3 linked regions of the Struthio camelus genome follow. The protein of the gene in region 2 purifies or fractionates together with the protein of the main gene of each other region. This does not show direct contact. Links are inferred from orthologs where the notes say so. Each region holds a gene or a part of one and is shown on either strand. Other genes may lie near its edges.

What was found.
Region 1: the proteins of PDE4DIP (region 2) and PRKACB purify together in Homo sapiens (affinity purification with mass spectrometry; 5 studies listed by BioGRID and IntAct, counting the BioPlex papers as one, with this or other methods). This does not show direct contact. The link is inferred for Struthio camelus from reciprocal best matches to the Homo sapiens genes PDE4DIP and PRKACB.
Region 3: the proteins of PDE4DIP (region 2) and CDK5RAP2 purify together in Homo sapiens (affinity purification with mass spectrometry; 3 studies listed by BioGRID and IntAct, counting the BioPlex papers as one, with this or other methods). This does not show direct contact. The link is inferred for Struthio camelus from reciprocal best matches to the Homo sapiens genes PDE4DIP and CDK5RAP2.

What each region holds. Positions count from the first base shown.
Region 1 is NC_090949.1:21,796,096-21,803,028, forward strand, and holds the start of PRKACB (cAMP-dependent protein kinase catalytic subunit beta), read right to left. Parts: upstream 3,021-6,933; 5' UTR 2,940-3,020; coding exon 2,753-2,939; intron 1-2,752. UniProt on the Homo sapiens protein: Mediates cAMP-dependent signaling triggered by receptor binding to GPCRs.
Region 2 is NC_090949.1:9,276,634-9,284,030, reverse strand, and holds the start of PDE4DIP (myomegalin), read left to right. Parts: upstream 1-4,391; 5' UTR 4,392-4,616; coding exon 4,617-5,765; intron 5,766-7,397. UniProt on the Homo sapiens protein: Functions as an anchor sequestering components of the cAMP-dependent pathway to Golgi and/or centrosomes.
Region 3 is NC_090961.1:7,999,805-8,007,025, reverse strand, and holds the start of CDK5RAP2 (CDK5 regulatory subunit-associated protein 2), read right to left. Parts: upstream 3,021-7,221; 5' UTR 3,015-3,020; intron 1-3,014. UniProt on the Homo sapiens protein: Potential regulator of CDK5 activity via its interaction with CDK5R1. Negative regulator of centriole disengagement (licensing) which maintains centriole engagement and cohesion. Involved in regulation of mitotic spindle orientation.

The sequences.
Region 1 (6,933 bases), about 13 Mb from region 2:
CTCCTCAATCTTCCAAAGACCAACAAGCAACTAACAAAATGAAACAAAAATCAAAACACAGGCCCCAGATACTTGCAGCTGATCATATTCAAGACATGTAAAACTAAGAAAGAAATGTACAGCTCTGATGACTAACACAGTATCCCTTTCATCTGCTGGCTGTACAGCACAATTGATCCGATTACTAGTTTAAGCTCTTCATTAACACACACAGTCAAGTTTTCTAAATAAATTCGAAGGCCTGTGGCATCCTGAGGCATTTCTGACCCATCAGATTCTAAAACATTTTTCAAAATAAATTCGCTTGGTTTCATACATTACCAGGAATCCAAGGCATGTTAGAAACAACCTGTTTTACATATGAAAACAAGGAAGCAAAGACATGAAATCAATTTCAAAATCAACCACTGAAAAACTCTACAGCCTTCAAATCACATGACAAGTTAAGCTAATCCACAACCCGGGATGACGGACAACATTTAAAACAAATAAAGTCCACCCAGCAAGAAGCAGTTCCTTCCTCTTCAACAAAGCTGTAGCTTCAGCAGTAACTCCTCTGTAGAGGACATGCATAGAAACAGATCTATTACAACATTTCATTATAGCCAAAGGTGTTAATATATTAACTTTCTTTTCAAATTAATTCCAATTCAAAACTAAAAAAACAAATAAATAAAATCCGAGAAGTCATTTCCCAAACTTCTTTTGGGAATTAAACAACGCTTTTGTCTCAAATTTCAGAAGCAATCCACACTAAACTTCTGCTATTTAGCCTCACCTAAAACCTAACAAGAACATTTTATAAGTTGCAGTGATACAGGCAGAATAGTTGTGAATATTCAGATATCCTTACAAGACAACAGTATGATGTTTTTAAAACAGTGCTTGCTTGTTAAACTTCCTATGAATTTGATCTATGGCCTGAATTCTATGACCTGATGCAATTCTATGATATTTAACTATTAGGCAAGAAAATAATTTTCACAGATGCTGTCTTTTTCTGCAAGTCAGCAGTACACAAGAACGCTACTGTCCCTATACTCCCTATCTTCTCTATCATTTCTTGAGCTCAAGTGGTAGTGAAATGAGAATCTAGAAAGGCAGACTTAGTCCATGTGTACCTAAACTACTCGTTATTTTTCTGAATAAATACTATCATTGAGATAATTGAGAGCAAAGCATTGAGAGCAAATATTCAGGGTAAGTATTCAGAATTTCATCCTAAACCCAAACTTACATAATCAGCCAAAATTCAGCTATCAGCTCACTAACTTTGCTTAGGAAAATATTATATACAACCACTGTGCTTAATCATTACTTAAAATAGCATTTATAGAACAACCATTTTCACCATGTTTATCACCAAAAGACACGACATTCCATTTCCTTGTCAAACATGTCATACAAGGAAGCTTGCTTTAAATAGAGGGGAAAAAAAATAGTAGAGACTTGTACACAAACGGGTCACAATTTGTAAATGTTAGTAGGTCAACACCATTTTTTCTTTGTATTAAATAAACAAAGATGCTTCAGTTGTCATTTTTTCTCAAATAGCTACTTATATAAAAAAAGAGCTTCTATATAAACACAAGCATGTGTCTATTTTTACTGACTTGAAGATATTTTGGAGGAATGGAGGCTCACAATTCATGCACTTTCATCATTTATCTTCCCAACAAGACTAGTCTATCCTTTTCCATCTCATTTGGAAGACCTAGATTTAATCTGTTTTAGGCCAATGCATTAACAGCTTTTTGCTTCCATGTTTACTGCATCTCCTCCGAGAACAGATTCAGTCCCCACTGGTACAATACTTCAAATTGAAAGTAGTGAGAAAGATTAACACTGTCTTTCTTCATGGTAACAGGGTGATGTTTAATAGGCCAATAAGGCCTATTTCCAACAGAAATAATTGTGCTATTCCAAATCCATCAATGAAACTGAAATCCAGCACAAAATTATCATCAATTACCATATTGTAACATTTTAAAATGAATATTTAACCACAAAGACAATAACTGACTTGCAAAATAATGCATTGCTTTAAAAGAAGAAAACGAAGATCAAATGACAATTTACTTACACTGTGGTATTTCTGAAACCTCTCATTTCTCTTACGCAAAATGCAATCATGAAAGGTTTTAAGCAACACATATCATAAATGGTTTGCTAACTAAGAAATTAAAGCTAATGATATTCAGCATTCCCATACTAAATTAATACATAAAATTGGTTTTAACTATTATGTTGTTTACCACTATACAGCACATGTTGAAATAGCACATGTTAAAATAAAGTGACAAATGATGAAGAGTCCTGTAATTAGAAGTCTAATCTGTGCAATGTCTGCCCATTCCAAAGTTTAAACACTACACTTTTTAATGGGTTTTCTGTTTCTGCTGAACCAGCAGATTTAATTTGAAAAGAAAGGAAATAATTTATAAGCAAAAAATTATTTGCGGGTGAGGAGAAACCTTGTCTAAACAAGTCAACAGTACTTTAACAGAGAAGAAGGGGCCAGGAATAAATTCTCCCACCAGCCACCCAGTCCTCTGAAATGGTACCACTCTTCCCCCTGCATGATGCAGTAGGTTTTTCTTCAAATTAACACCTTTCGGTATTAAATTGTAAAATTGCCTCTGGAATGCATCACAGCTCAGTATCTGTATCCAACTACAAATATGCAAGTTCTTCCCTTGCTGTGCAAACTGAAGAGAAAATATCTATAAAAACAAACAAAAACCCTACTTACTTGATTTGTCCCATAGGACAGCAAGTTCAGAGAAATGATGGCTCTCATTCTCCAGAGCCGCTCTCTGTTCGTGTGCACCACCCTTCGAATGCCTATGAAAGAGTCGATTAGCAAAACCTTCCAGTCTCTGTAGTGCTGTGGCTGTCCCTGTGCACTGGTTGCAAGGGATCTCCTTCGGAGCTGCCATCTATGCGCTCTGGCAACTCAGCAAAGCAAAAGAGAAAATATCTAACAGGAGCTGAACTCAGGGACACTAAGAGCAATGCATGCATCAAACTTCCTGTAGGCAGTGTTTTCTAACCACTACTCTCTTCTACTTCCTGTTAAGAAAAGCTCTATAATGTACTGTTTTATACTGTCAAAAGCCTCTTTTCACGTCAATTGAAAATAGTTATTTAAAAAGCTGCAAAAACTGCTCTAGCATGTGCTTTTACAGTTTAATATTTACTCACATTTGATATTAAAATATACATTTTACATTAAAATGTAAGAAACTTGTTCAGAAACTTGTTCAGAAATAAAGATCAGAAGCCAGATTTTTTTTCTAGTTTACCACAGCCACACATGAAAAAAGGAAAGTAACTACGCCGCAGCTCTCCTTGGTAAGATGGAGTACTACCGTAATCACAACAAACTTAACCAGCTGTAATATAATCATTAGTAAGCTCTCGTTTTCAATAGAACCACTTTCTAAGCAAGGAGGTTACTTGCAAAAAATCTACTGAAGAAACTATTATTTTGTTATTGCAAAAAAAAATTATTCTCCTCGTTTATGTTGAGAAAAATCAGACTAAAAGAAGCTCAATAATTCTAAAGTACACAAAAACAAGACTACACTATATTTATTCATACTGAGTTCTGCTTACTCTGGGAATGAACCAAGAGAATTTAATTTTTTCAGGGATAAACTATCAGAATGAACAGCATTGGCAGATCCTCCTTTAACAGCATATTCATTCTCCCAGCTCCAAAGGCAGCTGGAAGGAGAGTCACAAAGTCGTGGTCCCCAGCTCACGACATTGCTGGTGTAGAAGCTCCAACTGCAAGACTTGTGGAATTATGTAAGAAACTTTTTTTTTTTTTTTTTGCAAGATGTTTGGATCCTTCTAACTGCAGAATAAATCTAGAAAGCATCATTCATCATGGCTCAGAATATAGAGGAAATAAACTGAAAACAGTATTTAGCTTAGATTATATTATTTTTAAATCATATAATTTTACGTGCTTAAGATGGACAATACAAGAAATTCATTTCTGTGAAAATGGGAACACATACATTGGGCAGGTTTCCCAGTATATCGCCAGCACATAAAGTGTGGTTACTTACTTAAGAATAGTCCTAAATCTTTAAGATTTAAATAACTTGTCTCAATCTGTCTTCTGTCTTACAGTCAACACGTATTAAAGATATACCTTTTACTTTTCACCACCACACTTCTCCCTGAGTAGTTTCCAAATGTCATCAGATATCCATCCTTGGACATTACATAACTATTTCATAACAGCTTCTGGTTTTCAAGGGGAAAAAAAAACCCACTATGATGACAAAAATGCCTATGCTCATGATAAAACAATAAAGCTGAGGGCCAGGCTGTACAGATTGGACCATGTTCCTCACCACGGTCACTTACAGAGCTGCTGCCACCAGCCCCCTCCAGCAGGCGCACCACAGTTTAAGTTCCCAGAACCTGTACCCAGCGCGGAGAAGCCCTGTGCTTTCAGGCTCTAGATGCACTCTGGCGATGCAATTCTTTCTGCAGCGCCTGTCCAAAAGGCTGGGACCAACTGCCTGAACGCTCACATTTTTATGCCACATTTTGCAAATCTGGCTGAGCACCCTCTAGCTAGCCGGTGACCAGGCTACTTGGTGGGAGCAGGCTAAGGCACCACAGCCTCCCCTGGGTCTCAGCCCGTTGCAGCTCTTTTTCTACCTTCAGCCTCTCTGGCTTTTACTTCCTTTGTCCCAGGATCAATGCTGACTTCCAGGAAACCCCAGCAGGTTCGGTGCTCCTGCTGCCAGAAACATGGAACTAGGGAACGCTCCGGGGATTAGCCTGCCTTATAAGGGGCACAAACAGGCCCTGTGGATATATTATACACCACATATAACCACACACTTTATGCTAGAGTAATGCTGTGCCACTCTATATATAGTAGTATAAAAAAGAGCTAGACAAAAACAGTATGCCTATTTCCCTGCTCATTGCCTCATCCCTCTAAAACGCTCAGGGGCGAGAAGAGCCCCTCTGGATTCTCTGGCCTTGCCCCGCAGCACGTGCAAGTCGCTGAGCATCCAGGGAAGCTTGCCAAGAGACTTCAGCATCTTCTCTGACCTTGGCTGTTGCCCCCAATAAACAAAGCCCCATGCCATGAAGGTATGTTCAACTTTTCTCTCTCCCTTCCCACCACCCTTTCCTTTACAGTTCTGTAGTCTTATTTTTTATTACACTTCAGCTAAACTATTTCACCTCCCTGATCCCAAAGACAGCAACTCACAAAATTCAGTTTATGTAAGTTAAAGTCTATGTGGCCTTTATAGTCAATGGAGAGATCTGGGTATTTTCAGAGAACAACCCTGCTCACCAAAATTAAGAGCTGTGAATGCAATGAAGTGCCTAACCTAGACACCTGGATACTTGAACTAGGTCCCAAAAAACAGGAAGCAGAAATATCGATCCTTGGAGATCCAAGAACTGAACGGGTTTAGGTAAAAACAGGCATCAAAAAAGGAATGTTAGAAGATATCCAAAGAGAGAACCTGGATTTACCTTTAATTGCCAAAATTTTACAAACTACTGCCAGTGAACACTGTCACAGAACAAGGTCTGCTCCACACACGCAAAACACAAAAAGAAAGTATTGGTCACATCCATAGTTTGTTATTCAAATATCGATACACAGACAGTAACACACTTTCCTAGTACACACAAGCAGACCAGCACTGTCCAGGACAACAAAGTACACTACCACACTGATTTTCTGTGAAGTAATCCATCTCCCTCATTCCTCTACTGTTTAAAGGTGGACCCTCCTATTTCCTTTCATCTAATCATTCATCTTACTGACATACTAATCTTACAAATCAGCATAGTATTAATTTATTGGCACCAAGTATTTTCTCTGTTACATATGAGGCACGGACCACACAAGCTCCACATAGGCAGTATGTTACACACACACACACAGAGCTCAGTGACTGACGATGCTCTATCAATGACAAAATTCTGGGGCTCAGCTTGTAAAAGGATTTCCATTTGCCAGCCAGTAATGCTTTTCCCTTAGAACAGTTTGTGAAACTTTAAACACTACTAAATGTTTACATAGACACATGCAAGCAGCCTTAATCTCATCTTACTCATGCTTCATGCGGGAAGAAGAAATGGAGGCAGCTTTGATGGAAAGCTGTGTAGTGTTATCACTATGCTACTGTGGTTAAGGCAGTACGCTCTCCTGAAAGAGCAAAACAGTCGTACTTCATCCAGACCAGAAGTCGTCCATGTCCTACCAACTCAGTGCTACAAAAGCTGGATCAGGTATGGGTCAGCTCAGCTGCACAGATGTGTCCATATCACATCAGGCCTGATTAGGATACATTTACTGTCATAGAACAATTTTTTTCTTTTTTTCCTCTAGCGACAGTCTCTGCCTCTAGGGAACTGTCCCGTCCCTAGGAAACTTTTCACTTTGTCACCAAAAAAAAAAAAAAAAAAAAACACTTTATTTTAGGCCAGCTTTAACAGAAAGATAAAACTCTGTTATACTATTATCTAAAATGGTTTATGCTTGAAGACATTAAAACTAGCCAGCTGCCTCAGACAGTTGCGGTCCAGGTCGGCCCCACTGTTCAGCAGCCAGGCAGTGCTGAGAAGCACCCCTCTGCTCACCCAGCACAGCCCCACGCAGCCCGGGGCACCGGGGAGCTCCTGGGGCCGGCACGCAACGCAGCACCATCGAGCCGCGGTTCAGCATGTCTGCTGCATCCCTCCCAACTGCTCCAATCACAGTCAATCCAAACTAGCTAGGCAGTCAACTTAAGACGTGTTTTACTTGCACTGAAAAAGTTAGTTGTTTCAGTGTTTCTAACCGATTTCTAAAATTTCTGTTCTACAGGCAATAATGAAACTCCAACTTCTCTTTCCACTTAACCCTATCACCTAAGTCCTGGCAATATTTTAAAATAT
Region 2 (7,397 bases):
CGCCCACCACCGGCTCGCGCAGCCCCGGTGGCACCCACGGGTGCCCGGCCGCGCGCCCCCTGCCCGACCGCGGGCCCTGCGCTCCTCTCTCTCTCCGCAGGGACCCCTGCAGCGGCGAGCGGCCGGCCGCGCCGCCCGGAGCCAGCCGCATGGCGGGTAAGGGGCGCCCCGCCAGCCTCCCCCCCCGTCCCCGCGCCCGCCGTCGCCCTGCCCCGCGGAGGGCGAGCGAGGGGCGGGCGCCCCAAAAGCCCGCGTCCCCGCCGGCGCACACCCCGGAGCAGGGCGGCGGGGGGGGGGCGGCGCGTGCAGCGGCTCCTCTGACGGCCGCCCGCCTCGCTCCCCGCCAGCGTCCCCGGGCGATGCCCCGCCGGGGGCCGCGGGCGAGCGCGACGAGGCCGCCGAGCCGCCGCCGGCCGCTGGCCCCCCGCTCGGCCCCGGCCCGCCGCGCGGCCCCTCGGCGCACAGCTCTCTCCTCCGCGACCTGGCGACGGGCCCCCCCGCGCAGACGCAGACTTCGCTGCGGGACTTCGAGCAGGTCAGCCGCGTGCCGCCCGGCTCGTCCCCGCCGCCCAGGAGGCGAGGGCGGCTCCCCTCCCGCTCCCTTCCTCGCCGCGGGGTGGCCGGGGACCCCCGGGGGGGCCGGGGAGGGGACGGCCGCGCTCCCTCCCGCCGCCGGCTGCCGCGCGCCCGGGTTGGGGGGGGGGGGCCGCCCCGGGGGGCTCGGGTTTCACCGCTCGCCTGTCCCCTCTCCGCCAGGGATTCCTCAAATAGCTCCCGGAGAGAGAGGGGGGGAAAAAAAAAAAGGGAAGCGGCGGGGCGGCTGCGGCCACCCGGCGGGAGCTGGGAGCTGGGAGCAGGCAGGGCGGGCGCCGGGCGGCCGCGTCCCCAGAGCCTCGTCCCGCCGGGCCGGGCCGGGGGCGCCGGGCGAGGGGGGCGGGCGGGGATGCCCCCCCCCATGGAGCGCCCGCCATGGCTAACGGCTACCGCACGCTCTCGCAGCACCTCAACGACCTGAAAAAGGAGAATTTCAGCCTCAAGCTGCGCATCTATTTCCTGGAGGAGCGCGTGCAGCAGAAGGGCGAGGGCAGCCGGGACGAGGTGTACCGGCGGGTGAGCGGGCCGGCGGGCACGGCGGGTTGTCCCTGTGCCGGGAGGGGCACGGGGTGCCGGAGCGGGTCGGGGCGCCGGGGAGGGCGTCGGGGTGCAGCGGCAGAGCCGGGGTGTGGACGGGAAGCGGGGAGCGAGCATGCCGGCGGTGGGCGTCTCACGTCCTGCTTTGGGGTGCTGTGAGCCGTCTCGTGGGACTTCCACAGCCCCCTTGCTTTCTTTGACCGGAGAGGGAAGAGCGATGGGAAAGCCAGACGCGGACCCGCCGGCAGCGAAACGCCCTGTCGGCTCCTGCTGTAGCTCCCGTGGGGAAGGCACTGACGTTGGGGCTGGGCCGGTTGCCCCGTGCCGGCGCCGAGCACGGGCCTCCCGGGCCCTCTGGCCGCCTGGGCTTCTCGAACGCTCCCTGGCTCGGGGAGGAGAAGCGCGGCGGCGCCGAAATGGGGCTGCCGGCCTGTGCCGCGGGCAGCAGGGAGCCGAGCTGATAAATAACCCCAGGTGCTAGGAGAGCCGTCCGGCAGTGGCGGGGGGGGGGCGTGTGGCCGAGGGCACAGTTGCCCTCTCCGTAGCCGCAGGGCTGCGGAGGGGCGCGGGGCAGGCGGGCGCCGGGGCTGGGCGCCGGGTACGGGCAGACAGCTGGAGCGGGTACATCCCGTCCCGGCGCCTGCCAAAGCTGCGCGGGGCAGGCTAAAATAGCACCCGCGCCGCCGGGCTCGGCGGCGCGGCGCCAGCAGCCAGAGCCAGCTGGAGCAACAGCCCGAAAAGCCGGAGCAGCCGCGGCGGCTCCCACCCTCCCCGCGGCGCTGCGGGCCAGGGCAGCGGCTCCTGGGTCCCCGGCGCGGCGTGGGGCTGCCCTGCAGAGCACCCCGGTGCCATGCTCACCGCCCCCGGCCTCCCCTGCAGAACATCGAGCTGAAGGTGGAGGTGGAGAGCCTGAAACGGGAGCTCCAGGAGAAGCAGCAGGCCCTGGATAAGACATGGTAGGTGGGGCTGGCCGAGGCTCGCGCGGGGACGTGCGGGGTCCGCAGCGCCGGTGGCGCTTGCAGATGGGCACTAGGGACACCAGGTGTCGTGGCGCTGGGCGGTCAGTCCCCAGAGCGAGCCAGGGCTGCGGGCAGCGGTGGGGATTGGCAAAGGGGCCATGTGTCCTGCTGGGAGGGCAGGGCGGCCCGCGGGGCTCCTCTTACATGCCCGCTGCAGCGTAACCCGGCACGGCTGTTGGCGAGCCAAAAATAAAGGGCAGCACCTGTTTGCTGAGGGAGGGCGAGCGCTGCGCTCCGGGGGCCGCGGCGCAGGTACCTCGCTGTCCGCACAGCAGGGCTCTGCTGGGCACCGGGCGGCTGGGGGCATTTCCCTCCTTTTGGAGAGGTGCAGAGACAGCTTTGGTGTTGCAAAACATGCCACGTGCTGCCTAAGCTCCAAGCGGGACCTAACGACGCCAGATGAGTCAGTGTCCCAGGACTGTAGCTTTCCGGGTTTAAAATACACCATGCCTGGGTGCTCTTGCAAGAAAAGCAGCCGGTGCCCACTGGCGGGCTGGGGTAGGGGTGGGCAGGCTGGAGATGCTGGAGCAGCTGGGGCGGCTCGGCTCTCCCATCCCAGGCGGTTTGGGGTTGGGGCTTTTGCAAGCCTGGTGTGCCCCGCGGGAAGAGCAGAGCCCTGGCTGGTGGGGACGGGCATGCAGGGCCCAGGGCTTTGCATGAACCCCATGCTGGGTCCCGCTTGACCGGTCCCCGCGGTGCAGGTCCCTTCCCGAGGTCTCCCGTCCCTCTCCCAGAGAAGGGACGGTGCGGGGCTGGGGAGCCCCTGGCACAGCGGGGGCCATGCCGTGCCATGCCGTGCCTTGCAGGGTGGCCGCGGAGAACCAGACGAACCGCAGCGAGGCAGCGCTCCGGCAGCAGTACGAGGAGAGGCAGCGGGAGTCGGAGCACGTCTACGAGCTCCTGGAGAACAAGATCCAGCTCCTGCAGGAGGTGAGCGCCGGACGGCCGGGCGCGCGGCTGGCCGCCGGCACCCCCTCGTCGGAGGACGACGAGGGCTGGGAGGGGACCGGGGACGTCCCAGCGGCGGGGCAGGGGAGCCGCGGTCCCTCCGGCCTCACTTCCCGCTACCCTGCAGGAAGCTAGGCTGGCCAGGAGCGAGGCGGAGAAGGCCACGGCGCTGGCCAAAGCCGAGACGGAGCGGTGCCAGGAGCTGGCCGCGAAGCTGAAGGAGGCGGCGAGGAGGAAGGAGGAAAGCGGGCAAGCGGCTGACAGCAGCGCTCTGGCCCACAAGGACAGGTAGGTGGCCCAGGCCCCCCCACCCTGCGTGGCCAGCCCGTGCCCCCCGGCACCCCGGCGCTGCGCGGGGCCGGCCTCGCGCCTGAGCCTGCCCCGCCGTTGCCTTCCCTCGCAGGAGGATCGAGGAGCTGAGCCGGGAGCTGGCGGCCAGCAACCAGCTCGTGGAGCTGCTGTCGGCCGAGCGGCGCGACCCGCGGCGGCGGCCGGAGGGGCCGGCGGCCGCCCAGGCGCAGGTGGGTGGGCCGGCAGGGCGGCGGGCTCCCCCTTACTGCCCCCGTCCCCTTCGGGGGCTGCTTCGCCGCCTGCCCCGGCCTCCCCGCGGCCACGAGGCGGCAGCAGCCCGGCCCTCGAGCGCGCCCGGGGCAGGGCAGCCCGCCCGCAGGGTAAAACCCGGGTGTGAACACACCCGACGGCAGCAGCGCGCCCGGGGCGGGGGGGGGAGCCAGGGCCCCCAGGGGTCACGGCCATCCCCGCCGGCCGCGGGAGCTCCGGGACGGCACGACCCGGCCGGGGGTGCGGGGCAGGGCCCCGGCCTCGGGGCTGGCGCCGGCCGTGGGGCCGCGACGTGGGGCAACCCCGGCGCTGGGCCCACCCGACGGGTGCTGGGGCGGGGGGGCGGGGGGGAGGAAGGCTACTGCGCATGCGGGCCCGCCTGGCCGGGGCGACTACAAATCCCGGCAGGCGCCGCGGCCGCCGCGCACGCGCGGAGCTGCCGCCCGCCGCCATCTTGAAATCTGAGCCACAAGCCGGGCGCCGCCGCCGTGGCAGGAGCATCGTCGGCGAGGCGGAGGCGGGAGCGGGAGTGGCGGGGGCCGTAGGGCCGGGACGAGGGGGGCTGCGAGGAGACGGGGGGGGAGCCCCGGGGCGAGGGGGCAGGTCGCGGTAAGGGGGGCCCGCGAGGAGCGGGGCAAAATCCGGGGTGAGGGGCCTGGCCGAGGCGAGGGGGCCCGTGAGGAGCAGGGGGAGCCCTGGGCTGAGGGGGGCCGTGAGGAAGGAGAGGGGGCATCCCCGGAGAGGGGCTGGGCTGGGCTGGGGGTGTTGTAGAAGGGCAAGTTCCTGCAGTGCGAGGAGTCCCTGGGAGTCCCAGGGTGTGACCCCAGGCGGGGGGAGCTGGGGTGAGGTGTGTTAGGGGCTCGTGGCCTGGGCGATGCGCTGAGGGAGCGGTGGAGGCCTGGGGAAGGTCTCCTGAGAACCCCCAGGAGTAGTTGGGGGTGCTGGTCAGGAGGGAAGATGAAGGAAACCTGCCGGATTTGCGCCCGGGAGCTGTGCGGCAACCAGCGGCGATGGATCTTCCACACCACGGCCAAGCTCAACCTGCAGGTGCTGCTCTCCCACGTCCTGGGCAGGGAGCTGTGCCGGGATGGCAAAGCCGAGTTCGCTTGCAGCAAGTGTGCCTTCATGCTGGACCGCATCTACAGGTTCGACACGGTCATCGCCCGCATCGAAGCCCTCTCCATCGAGCGCCTGCAGAAGCTGCTGCTGGAGAAGGACCGCCTCAAGTTCTGCATTGCAAGCATGTACCGGAGGAACAATGATGACTCTGGCCCAGATGACAGAACTGGGGATGGGACCGTGGACCTTTCTAACCTGCCCGATGTTCGGTATGCTGCCCTCCTTCAGGAGGACTTTGCTTATTCTGGGTACGAATGCTGGACGGATCATGAAGAGCACAGCCTGGAACCACACAGCTGCCACGCTTCAGAGGGAGCGAGTAACCGCCCGCGGCGCTGCCGTGGCTGTGCCACGCTGCGAGTGGCCGATGCTGACTATGAAGCGATTTGCAAAGTGCCGCGGAAGGTGGCCAGAAGTATCTCCTGCGGGCCGTCCAGCCGGTGGTCAGCAAGCATGGGCAATGAAGAATCATCTGTGTGTGACACTGCAGAGTCATCTGGTGCCAGAGGGCCAGTGGATGGGGAGAGCATGGAGGAAGGCACGCCTGCGTCCTCCATTGAGTCGCTGGACACAACTGTGGAGGCTAGCCCTCCGCAGCAGAAAGACGAAGATGCAGATAAGGGGGTGAAAGGGAGCGGGAAATGTGACGATTTTGCAGAGGACCGCATGACCCCGAACTCTTCGCTGAGTGGGAATAGGCTGGAGTTGGCCCTCAGCTTGATCAAGGCTTTAGACTACAAACCCATTCATAGTCCCAGAGGCAGCAGACTACCTATTCCTGTGAAATCCAGCTTGCCACCTCCCAAACCCAGCCGTGACTTGGCAGATGGAAGTGCTCCTGCTGGCTTAGTGTATGCTGGTTCTGGTTTCCTGAATGCAGACAGGAAATCTCTTTCCAGAGCCCATTTGGGTCTTTCCTTGGAGATCTCTGACCTGCAAGAGCTGTGGGACGATCTCTGTGAGGATTATATGCCGCTTCGGGTACAGGTAGAGGTCATTGTGTAGCCTTTCAATTGAGCAGCGTCCCTGCAGCTCGACTCTGAGTCCATTAGGAATTCCTCCGCGTTGAGATAATACGGATAGCCACGTGTCACTGAACCACGGGCTAAGAATAGGCAGCTCAGTCCTTTTTAGGTGCGGTCCCTCTCCCTGTCGCTCTCCTGTGATATGGTTCCTTGTTGTTTTCTGGGAAATTAATCTTTCCGTCAGTCATATCTCCCTGTGAATGCAGGGTTCTGGCTGGGTCTGAGGTCTTTGCATGCTTTCTCATTTTCTGCTGAGAAAATGCCAGTTTCACTTCAGCTGTCTCTTTAAACAGTTGATTTGGATTTTACCCACAACTAAAGGGAGCGTTTTAAGCTGCTGGGCATGTGTTTTCCCGCAAACGTTTTTTCTTTGTGCCTTGGTAATGGCACAGTGTCAGGCATGTCTGTCTTCAGAGCCTTGCCTCAAACCAGCCCAACAGGCAGGTCTGTGCAGTGATCTGTGGTGTCTGCCCTAAGGAGAAGGTGTTCTCTTTGCAGGTGGATTTGTGCTAGTGGATTACTTTAGGGCTGGTATTCTAGATAATTGGTTTTATTTTTTTGATCCTTTAAAAAGATTCGTCAATTAATGGCAGTTATTGCTGAGAGGCGGTGAGCTCTCTTGCTTTCACAAGATGCCTTGGTACTGTTATCTGCTTAGATTTTAGTCCTGCTTAGATTTTTGTAGTGCTGGATTGTCTCTGCTCTGCTGGCTTTAATAAAATCTTCATTAGTATGCAGTCAAAAAGCTGAACTTGTTAACTCCTCTGTCACTTCCCTTAATGAAGGTCTCAGTCAGCTTTAATTCAGGAATATCCATGTCAGCCTAATTGCATTCACATTAGCAGCCTTAGTGCTGCCTAATACTCTAGGTAGCCTCAGGGAGTAGAAAAAATGCTTGTTTATTACTATGGCAGCTGTAGCTGTACCGAGCCTCACTGCCTATTCGGTGAGTGCTGCTTACTCTCCCATCTGCTCGGGTGTTTTCCAGAGCTGTGCGCTCCTTTCATAATAGTCTGCTCGAGAAATGACATTACGGAGGAATGGAAAACAGCAACATTAATTTTCACGCGGTGCACTAAGGCCTTGCGTTTGTAGCCTGCGATTGAAGATGTGAAGCAGGACATAGATGCTGCTGCTGTATTCTGTCAATTGCTGCTCATTTTTGCTCCTAGGGACGTATTTTCAGCATGAAAATAGAGTCTCTCTTAACAGAGCAGACAGTGATCAGTGTGACACATGAGTAGCTTGGCTTTGTGTCATGCCTTGCCATCCTTGTATCGTGCAATTGCTTAGAGGAGTTTCTTTGAACTCTGGCCTCTGCAGTACAGCAGTCCTGGCAGGGAATTCATCCTGCTGAATTCTTTACTTCCCATTTCTTGCCATCGCAACTACCCATCAGCAACTGGTGACCTCAGCGCTGGGTTTGGCAGAAGGGGAAAGCGCTTGAGTGTTCGGATGGTTTTAGTGGAAAGTCAGATGCTGCTAGTCAGCTAAATGGTTCTTGTGTAAATGATTTTTTTTTTTTTTTCTTTTCTGTTTCTGTATAAACATTACTCTTTCTAGAAGCCAGGTGCTGCTCTCCAGTGATTTGTAT
Region 3 (7,221 bases), on a different chromosome or scaffold from region 2:
ATTGGCAATGCCAACTTCCCGACAGCCTAAATTCACACTCACCAGGATGTGACAAAGATAATAAATTTGGGGTTCCTTTCCTTTGCCTTCTGGCTTCTGATTTTTTTAGAGGTTGTATTTTTAAAGGATATTTTTGCAAGGACTAATGCTGGTCCTTGGGCGTTGCATCAGCATCATGTCCAGGCTGCTTCCCAAAGCTGCTCTTCTGGCTTTGGCGCTTTAGGACAGGTGACACTGTTAAAATTGGCCTTTCTTTCAGGTGGTTGTTTTCAGTCTGTCCAATCCCAATTTGCATCACTGAGACAGGCTTGCAAACTTCTCCCAGGCATATGGAGATAGCCATGTCTGTTCATCACCAGATTCCTTCACATCCTGTGATCTTGCCTTTCCTTTAGTGTCTGTCAGGTTTAGGTGAGCTCAGTTCATAATATCTTTGGCGTGCCTGTGTTCAACCACCTGGTATTTTACTCCTGACTAAAAACAATAGTAGCTTGAGGCTGCACTCCTAGACTCCCCCTTCCTTGCCCTCCTCCTGTGCTACACATACGTGATGCCTGGGAGTCCTGCTGCCTGGCTCATACTGCAGTGGGAAATCTTAGACGCTGGCGGACACAGGGAAGGCAGCCAAACCTGGCAGTATTGGTTGGTTGTGGTTCACATAGTCTGTATTCTGCTGCTTATTTCCACCAGCATGCTCTTCTCATACAGCTTGCTGTATTACTTGGATTTCTGCTCAGCGTGTTCTTCTCTGACACCAAGAACGAAAGCATGTTGGTGTAGATGGGTGAGCTTTGTTATTGAAACTGAGACTTTTTCTGCTTGGACTTTTGCATTGGAAATAACATCGTGATTAATCTACTCCTGGCTTTGTTCTTTTTATGACCAAGGGATCAGTTTTTGGAGGACTTCCTGCTCTTTTAGAGGGACTTAGCAAGTTGATTAATCTGTAGCAACAGTAACTAAAGTCACCAAAGTTTTTATAGTGACCAGATGGAGATAAGAAAGTACTCGCAAATGGTAGTTGCTGAAGATGCTGGGTGCCAAATTTGCAAACTGTTTTTAAAGAGATCATCTGAGCAAAAGCATTCTGTGGGCTCTACAGTCAGCTTGGACATGAACCTCCTCTTTGTTTGGCTGAACAAAAACCAGAAAAACAAAACAGTGAAGGCAGTTAGATTTTGTTTGCTTGCCTTTGTCCCCCCCTTCTCCCAAATCACTGTAAAATTAGGAATAATGCCAGTGAATTCTGTAGTGATTTAGTGGACTAAAGCTGGTGCATAGAAGATGAAAGACAAATCAGTATGGTATTGCTGTTTTCAATAACCAGTCCATTCAGGTTTGACTTTCATTCTATTTTCTTTCTCTGTTCTCGATTTAGGGAGAGTTCTTTCATCCCTGTTGTGAATTAGAGTACCAAGTATTGCTATAGCCACAGAGCTAGGTGTTTGTTGGCACCACGCTTCTCCTTGGAAGATCTCTGGTTTGCCCCAGCGTTGGCTGTATCCCTTCTAAAGAAGTTTTACTGCAGCCTCTTGGTTGTGTCTCAGGTTACAGATGTGCCACCAGTTAAATAGCATGTAAGCAAGGATAGATGCTGGGCACTGGGCCCTGCTGTTAAGTGACAAATTTCCTGGATGTACGAGCCATAAAGTTTGCCACAAAAAAGGGTTAATTCAGACCTCTCCCTTCTTACAAAAGGTTTTTGTCTGCTGTGTGGATTGGCTGGGGAACAGCTCTCATCAAAGCCTGTCATGTGAGCACTGCTGCATGAAACAGATATGGTGTCGAAACCCGCAGGCTGTTGGGAAGGGACCAGTGATGAAGCTGCATAGATGACATCTGTGCTGTACAGTGTACAGGGCAAGGGCAATGTCACTCAATGGAAAAAATAAGTGTGGGGACTTTCTGGGGGCTGAGAGCACCAGAGCTGACTTTGGTCCACCTGAACTTGCTGTCCTTGTAGCTACATCACTTGAGTGCAGCATAGTCGCCACCTGGGGTGGAGCGTGTCTGGCCCTTGGCCTTTGTCCCCAGTCTTCAACAATCACATGGGAGAGGTGCAAGGTACTTGACGTGAATGTGAAACACGTGTTGCCGCGGTCAGTTATTTACTCCTGCTGGTCCTAGAAGCTTCCTTGTGGGTTTTTGCATGAATACACTCTCTCTAAGTTGAGTGAGGGCTTTGTGGTCCAGCCTGTTGTTTGTAAAGAGCACTGAGAGCCACTGCACAAACATGGCTACGTGACTGCAGTAGAAGGTGATGAGCTTGTAAGGCTTAGGCAAACGTAGCCCAGCTTGAATAGGCATCTCCATCCCTTCAGATGCCATCCCATGGTTGGGAGGCAAGGGAGGAAAGATGAGGGCTTTCCAGGCTGATGAAATGAAAGTGAGTGAAAATACTCGATGGCAAGCTCATTTCTAGTAGCGATGTCTCCCCAGCTCTGAATCAGCCTTTCTCTCTGGCAGTGACCAAGCCCTCACTGCTGCTTGTGTCTAGTTTGCCTTGCTAATCTGGATCTTCCCTGCCTTTCCGAGGCTGTCTCAAGATGGTGTTTGCAGTTTTTGTGAGGCTGCTCGTGAGAAGCGCAGCAGGACGGGCCGTAAGTTGCTGATAGCTGTGGAGCAGGCTGGGCCCCCTTAGCAGCATGCTCAGCTGATGCCACGTGGCAGCGACCTAAGACTAGGGTCCCTCCGGAAGGGCTGATGTTCGCTAGCCTCCCATAGGTTCCCTCTGAACACCCCAGCTGATGCTTCCACCTTCTCTAACCCTTTTAGCATCGCTTTATACACACACGCTTTGATTTGACTGCAGCTGGCGGCGGCGTGGAGTCTGCCCAGAGGGCAGCGAGCTGCCCACAAGCGCCGTTCCTTCAGGCCTTGCCAGCCCCTATCCCGAGAGCAAACAGGCCTGGCCAGGGAAGGGCTGGGTTGGAGCAGTCCAGACATTTGCTAATTCCCATGGGTGTCGCACCTCTACCTGCAGAGCCTCTCCTGCAGCCACCTCCCTCCGCAATCGCTGCTGCCGGTCCCTGGGGAGGGTGGGACGCAGGCAGTCGGGGAGTAGCGAGGATGCACTGCACGGTCACGATGAACGCTGGTTCTCTCAGCAGTCAGGAGCTCTTCTGGGCCTTTGTTAAAGCCACAGTCCTGGAGCGAGGCGTTTGGAAAGGGGTAACTTGTGCAAAGCTACCTGATGGGGGATAAAACCCGCCCTAAACAAACCGGCTTGAAAGTCTGCCTGTGGGATGACAGCAACTGTTCCCTCCCGACCATCTCCTTTAGGCTGAGATACGGGGAGGCAAGCAAGGCATGTCTTCGGTGCTTTAATAAGCTGTCCCTAGCTGAGGTGGTTTGATGTCGTTTTTTTTTTACCTTCGCTTTGTGTGGTTATTTCTGGCCAAGGGAAGCTTAAGCCTTCAGTGGGTGTTTGGTATGTCAATAACTATAATTAAGCTTTTGTGGTTCTCTTGCAAACTCTGGAATCTATAATTTTCAGCATAGTCCCCTCCTAGTATTCCTAGGGGGAGAGGGGGGTCTTTGTTGGATTTAAAATAAAAATTTTTTTAAAAAAGTTATAAAATAAAATGCTGATCAGTGCTGTTTACAAATATTTTAATTCCGTGTTATTTCCCCTTAAAAAAAAAAAAAAGGAGGGGGGAGGAAAATAGAAACCTTGGCATTTCTTGCTATCTTCCAACTACTTTGGGGAAGGTTTTACACAGAAACTAGTTTGTTCCTGTTGTTTAATAATGGCATGTCAGGAGAGAGAAAAAAAAAAAAACAGGTCAAGATGAAGGGGTGAAGAGTACAGAGAAACTGTTTATTTTCTCCACAAGGTCCCTTTGCTGACCGTGTACCGAGGCCAGGCGTGTGTTTTGCAATACTTACCGAGTGCAATGCGTGTTGAGCTGAAGCTCGGTGGACTTGTGGGGCTGCAGAGCAGGAGTCCTGGGCTCTTTTCCTTGCTTTGCTACTCACCGTAATTGGGACGGGACAAGTTACTAATGGCCTGTTTTTTTCCGAGGTGGGGTGGGATGCGCAAGCGCTCAGGGATTTCTGGGGAACCTGTGACGGCTCAGGCATCTCTTTCAGAATTGCGCCTTTTAGTCTTTGGGGCTTTCTGCATATCCAGCTGGTAAATGAGGGAAAACTGTGTGGGTGAGTGATGAACTAGGGATCACATTAGTAATTGCAAAGTGCTTTCAGGATGCTTTGATGAAAGGCACGGTAGGTGCATCAAAGCGTTTTTTGTACTCGTGACCTGTTTGCCGTGTGTTTGATGGGGATGGCTGGTTTGGGTGTTTTCTGTTTGTTATTTTAGGGAAGGCTGAAATGAGAGCCACGTTACCCACATCAGTTACCTACTGAGGATGCATTAGCCGTTGGACCGCGCGGCTATCAGGTGCGCAATATCAGCATTAAAGAGAGAGCACTGTATCCACTCCCTGCCTGGGGCACATCCACCGAGGAAAACACTAACAAAGAGTTGTTGCGTATTCAAGTCTTTGAAGATGTAAAGTACTAAATAGTCTCGCTTATTCTGTTCTGCTGATTAACGCAAGTCTTGCCGTGAATTTTGGACCGGCTTGTGTGGTAAAGCTGGGATTTGGTGGGAAAGGAGACAGAGCCATTTGGAGAAGAGTTTCCTATGAGACACTGAGAAATAGAGTGAGATGAAAAGCTGCCTTTTAGGTATAAACAAGCAAAAAAAAAAAAAAAAAAGCTTAATGTTAGCTCACAATAAATCCTAGAGAAGAACAATATAAGAGAAGAAGGATGGGTGTTCAGGCTTAATATGAAGTGAGATGGTATTGACAAAATATACTTTTTGTATGAGGAAAATCTTTAAGTGTGGTGAGTTTGCCAGTGGAAAAGTTTGTAAATGACGCATAAATGAAATGTTCCATATGAAGAGGGATTTGACGGTTTTCTGAGAAATTGGAGAGTAAACACTATCTCTCTCTTGGTTTTGCAGTGTAAAACTTGACCTTGATCTAACCCTAGTCAATGACAAGGCTCCTCTTCACTCCCAGAGACTTTGGGAAGATAGGAAACAGGCTTTAAAACATTTTGATTTGGTCAAATGAGGACTTACTGCCTTGGTTACATTTCTGAAATATGTAAGGGCCAAATTCTCAGTGCTGTTACATGAATAGAAGATTCATCTGAACTCACTGAAGTTCATTGCAGTTCTTCTGCTGTAACTTTGAGCAGTGGAAACGGTGGATTTTGCCTGGTGGATTTTGCTCGCTAGTTTGAAGCTGTTCATGCAAGCCTCTGTCCGCATGTTATTTAGAAGTAGGAGGAAGTTGCCATAGTTGGACTGGGACAATTTAACAAATAACAGGAAACTTACTGTGTTTATCTTCCTGATGTGCTTTGTAATGTAAAGTCAGATTTACTTTGCTAATATTCAATCCCTCCCCACTTTTTTTTTTTTAAGGGCAGAGAGGAATCTATGGAGCATTCAGTGTTTATGTTTTTATTTCTATTTGCAAGTACTTACAAATCTGCTGCAAGTTCTCTACGTGGCGAATGGGGGATGCTTGGCTGCAATCAGTGGTACTCCGTCAATTTACGTCAAGAAAAAGTTTGGTCCTTTAAACGCTCCTAAACCACATCAGGAGAGCTGATACATTGCCAGCTCTAGTAGCTAGCCCAGGAAACGATTTTTCAGCAGCCTAGGGTAAAATACATCCCAGTGACCCTTTTTGCTATACAAACTTTAGCTATCTTGTGCAAAAGGCTTCAAAGTCCTTTCTGAAAACAATTTAATACCACAGTAATAGTGACTTTCTTAGGTAGGGTTGAACAATAGATGCTTTTGATAGGAAAGTTATAAATAAAGGCTTCTTGTTCCATCCTTAAGCACAGTGCGGAGATGCTAATCATGCTGCAGACATAATACTGCAGTTGGCTGCCATGGAAGTAGCTCACACTGAAAATTCAAGCATTGCAGAGCTGTATGAGAGTCAGCCCAGGTGTGTGCTTTGGTAGGATTTGCCTTTGGCAGAGGGAAACTACCTTCAACAGACATGTTGGTGGTGGGATCAGGGTACCTAATGCTCGATTATTATTTTAATGAAAGGGTTTATGAATCAGACAAAACAGACAAGCCCCAGAGCCTCATTGTAGGTGGAGGGGGAAGACCAGCAAGGCAATTTGTCACAGGCAAAAAGCAAATCTCTTATCCATAGCCCTTTTCTTTTCAAAGGCACAGTATAGCAGAAAGGCTGAAGTTTGCCATGGGTTTATACAAGCAAAAAGTCTTACTAAAATCAGAGCATGTTCTAAAGGCCTGAGAAGTCAATGCAAATCTTTCCGTTGGCCCTTAACAGACTTTGGATGAGCTTTTGGGAGAGCTAGAACAATGCTGATTAAATTGTTTATTCTGTATCTAACTTGCTGGAATGTTAACCGCTTCCGCTCTGAGGGTTCGACCTGAATCAGGGCTGAGCCGGGTGCATCCTGAGCCAGCTTTTTGTGGGAATGGAGACACTCCAGCCCCTTACGTACCTGAGCCTAGCTTCTGTTAAATACAGCGATGGGTCAAGCAGCATGCAAAGGCTCCTGAGCTTTTGGTCCTCAATGGAAGCTCCCACTGTGAAGTCACTTTGATGCACTCTGTGCAATACAATTGCATTTAAATTACAAAAAAGAAAAAAAAAATAATCTCCCCAGCTCTCAAAACAAGCAAGCAAGCAAACAAAATCTCCTTCCGTGAAATCCATTTCAATCACTTCATTTCATTTCCCTCCCCTCCAGGGAGAGGGGTTTTATTTCACCGGTGAGTATATAAATATTGACTTGATTTTTTTTGGAATTGGAGGAAGAGAGACACAACCAGGTCTCTTATTAGTTCTTACCCAAACATCAGTAAATACAGTCTTTCTGCAATGGCTACAGTTTGGAGAGCTTTACCAAATACTATTGCTATTGAAGTGGAGAGAGCGAGAATGAACAGATGTGAAGAAGTGTGTTTGGAAGGAAAAGAGCCTATTAGCTTTGAAGCAGATTTGTATACTCTTGGTTAATATACTAACTGTTTCAGAAGAGAACTTCACTGTGAAAATGGGCTGTGTTTCTGTTTTATGTGTTAGCAATTCAAGAGAAGTATGAAGAAATCTAGCTTTGTTGTGTTCTAAGTGGCAAAGATTATGTTTCATTCAATGCAGATAAAGCGCTAGGAATTGTCTGTTGGACTCCGGAAGATGTATTTGA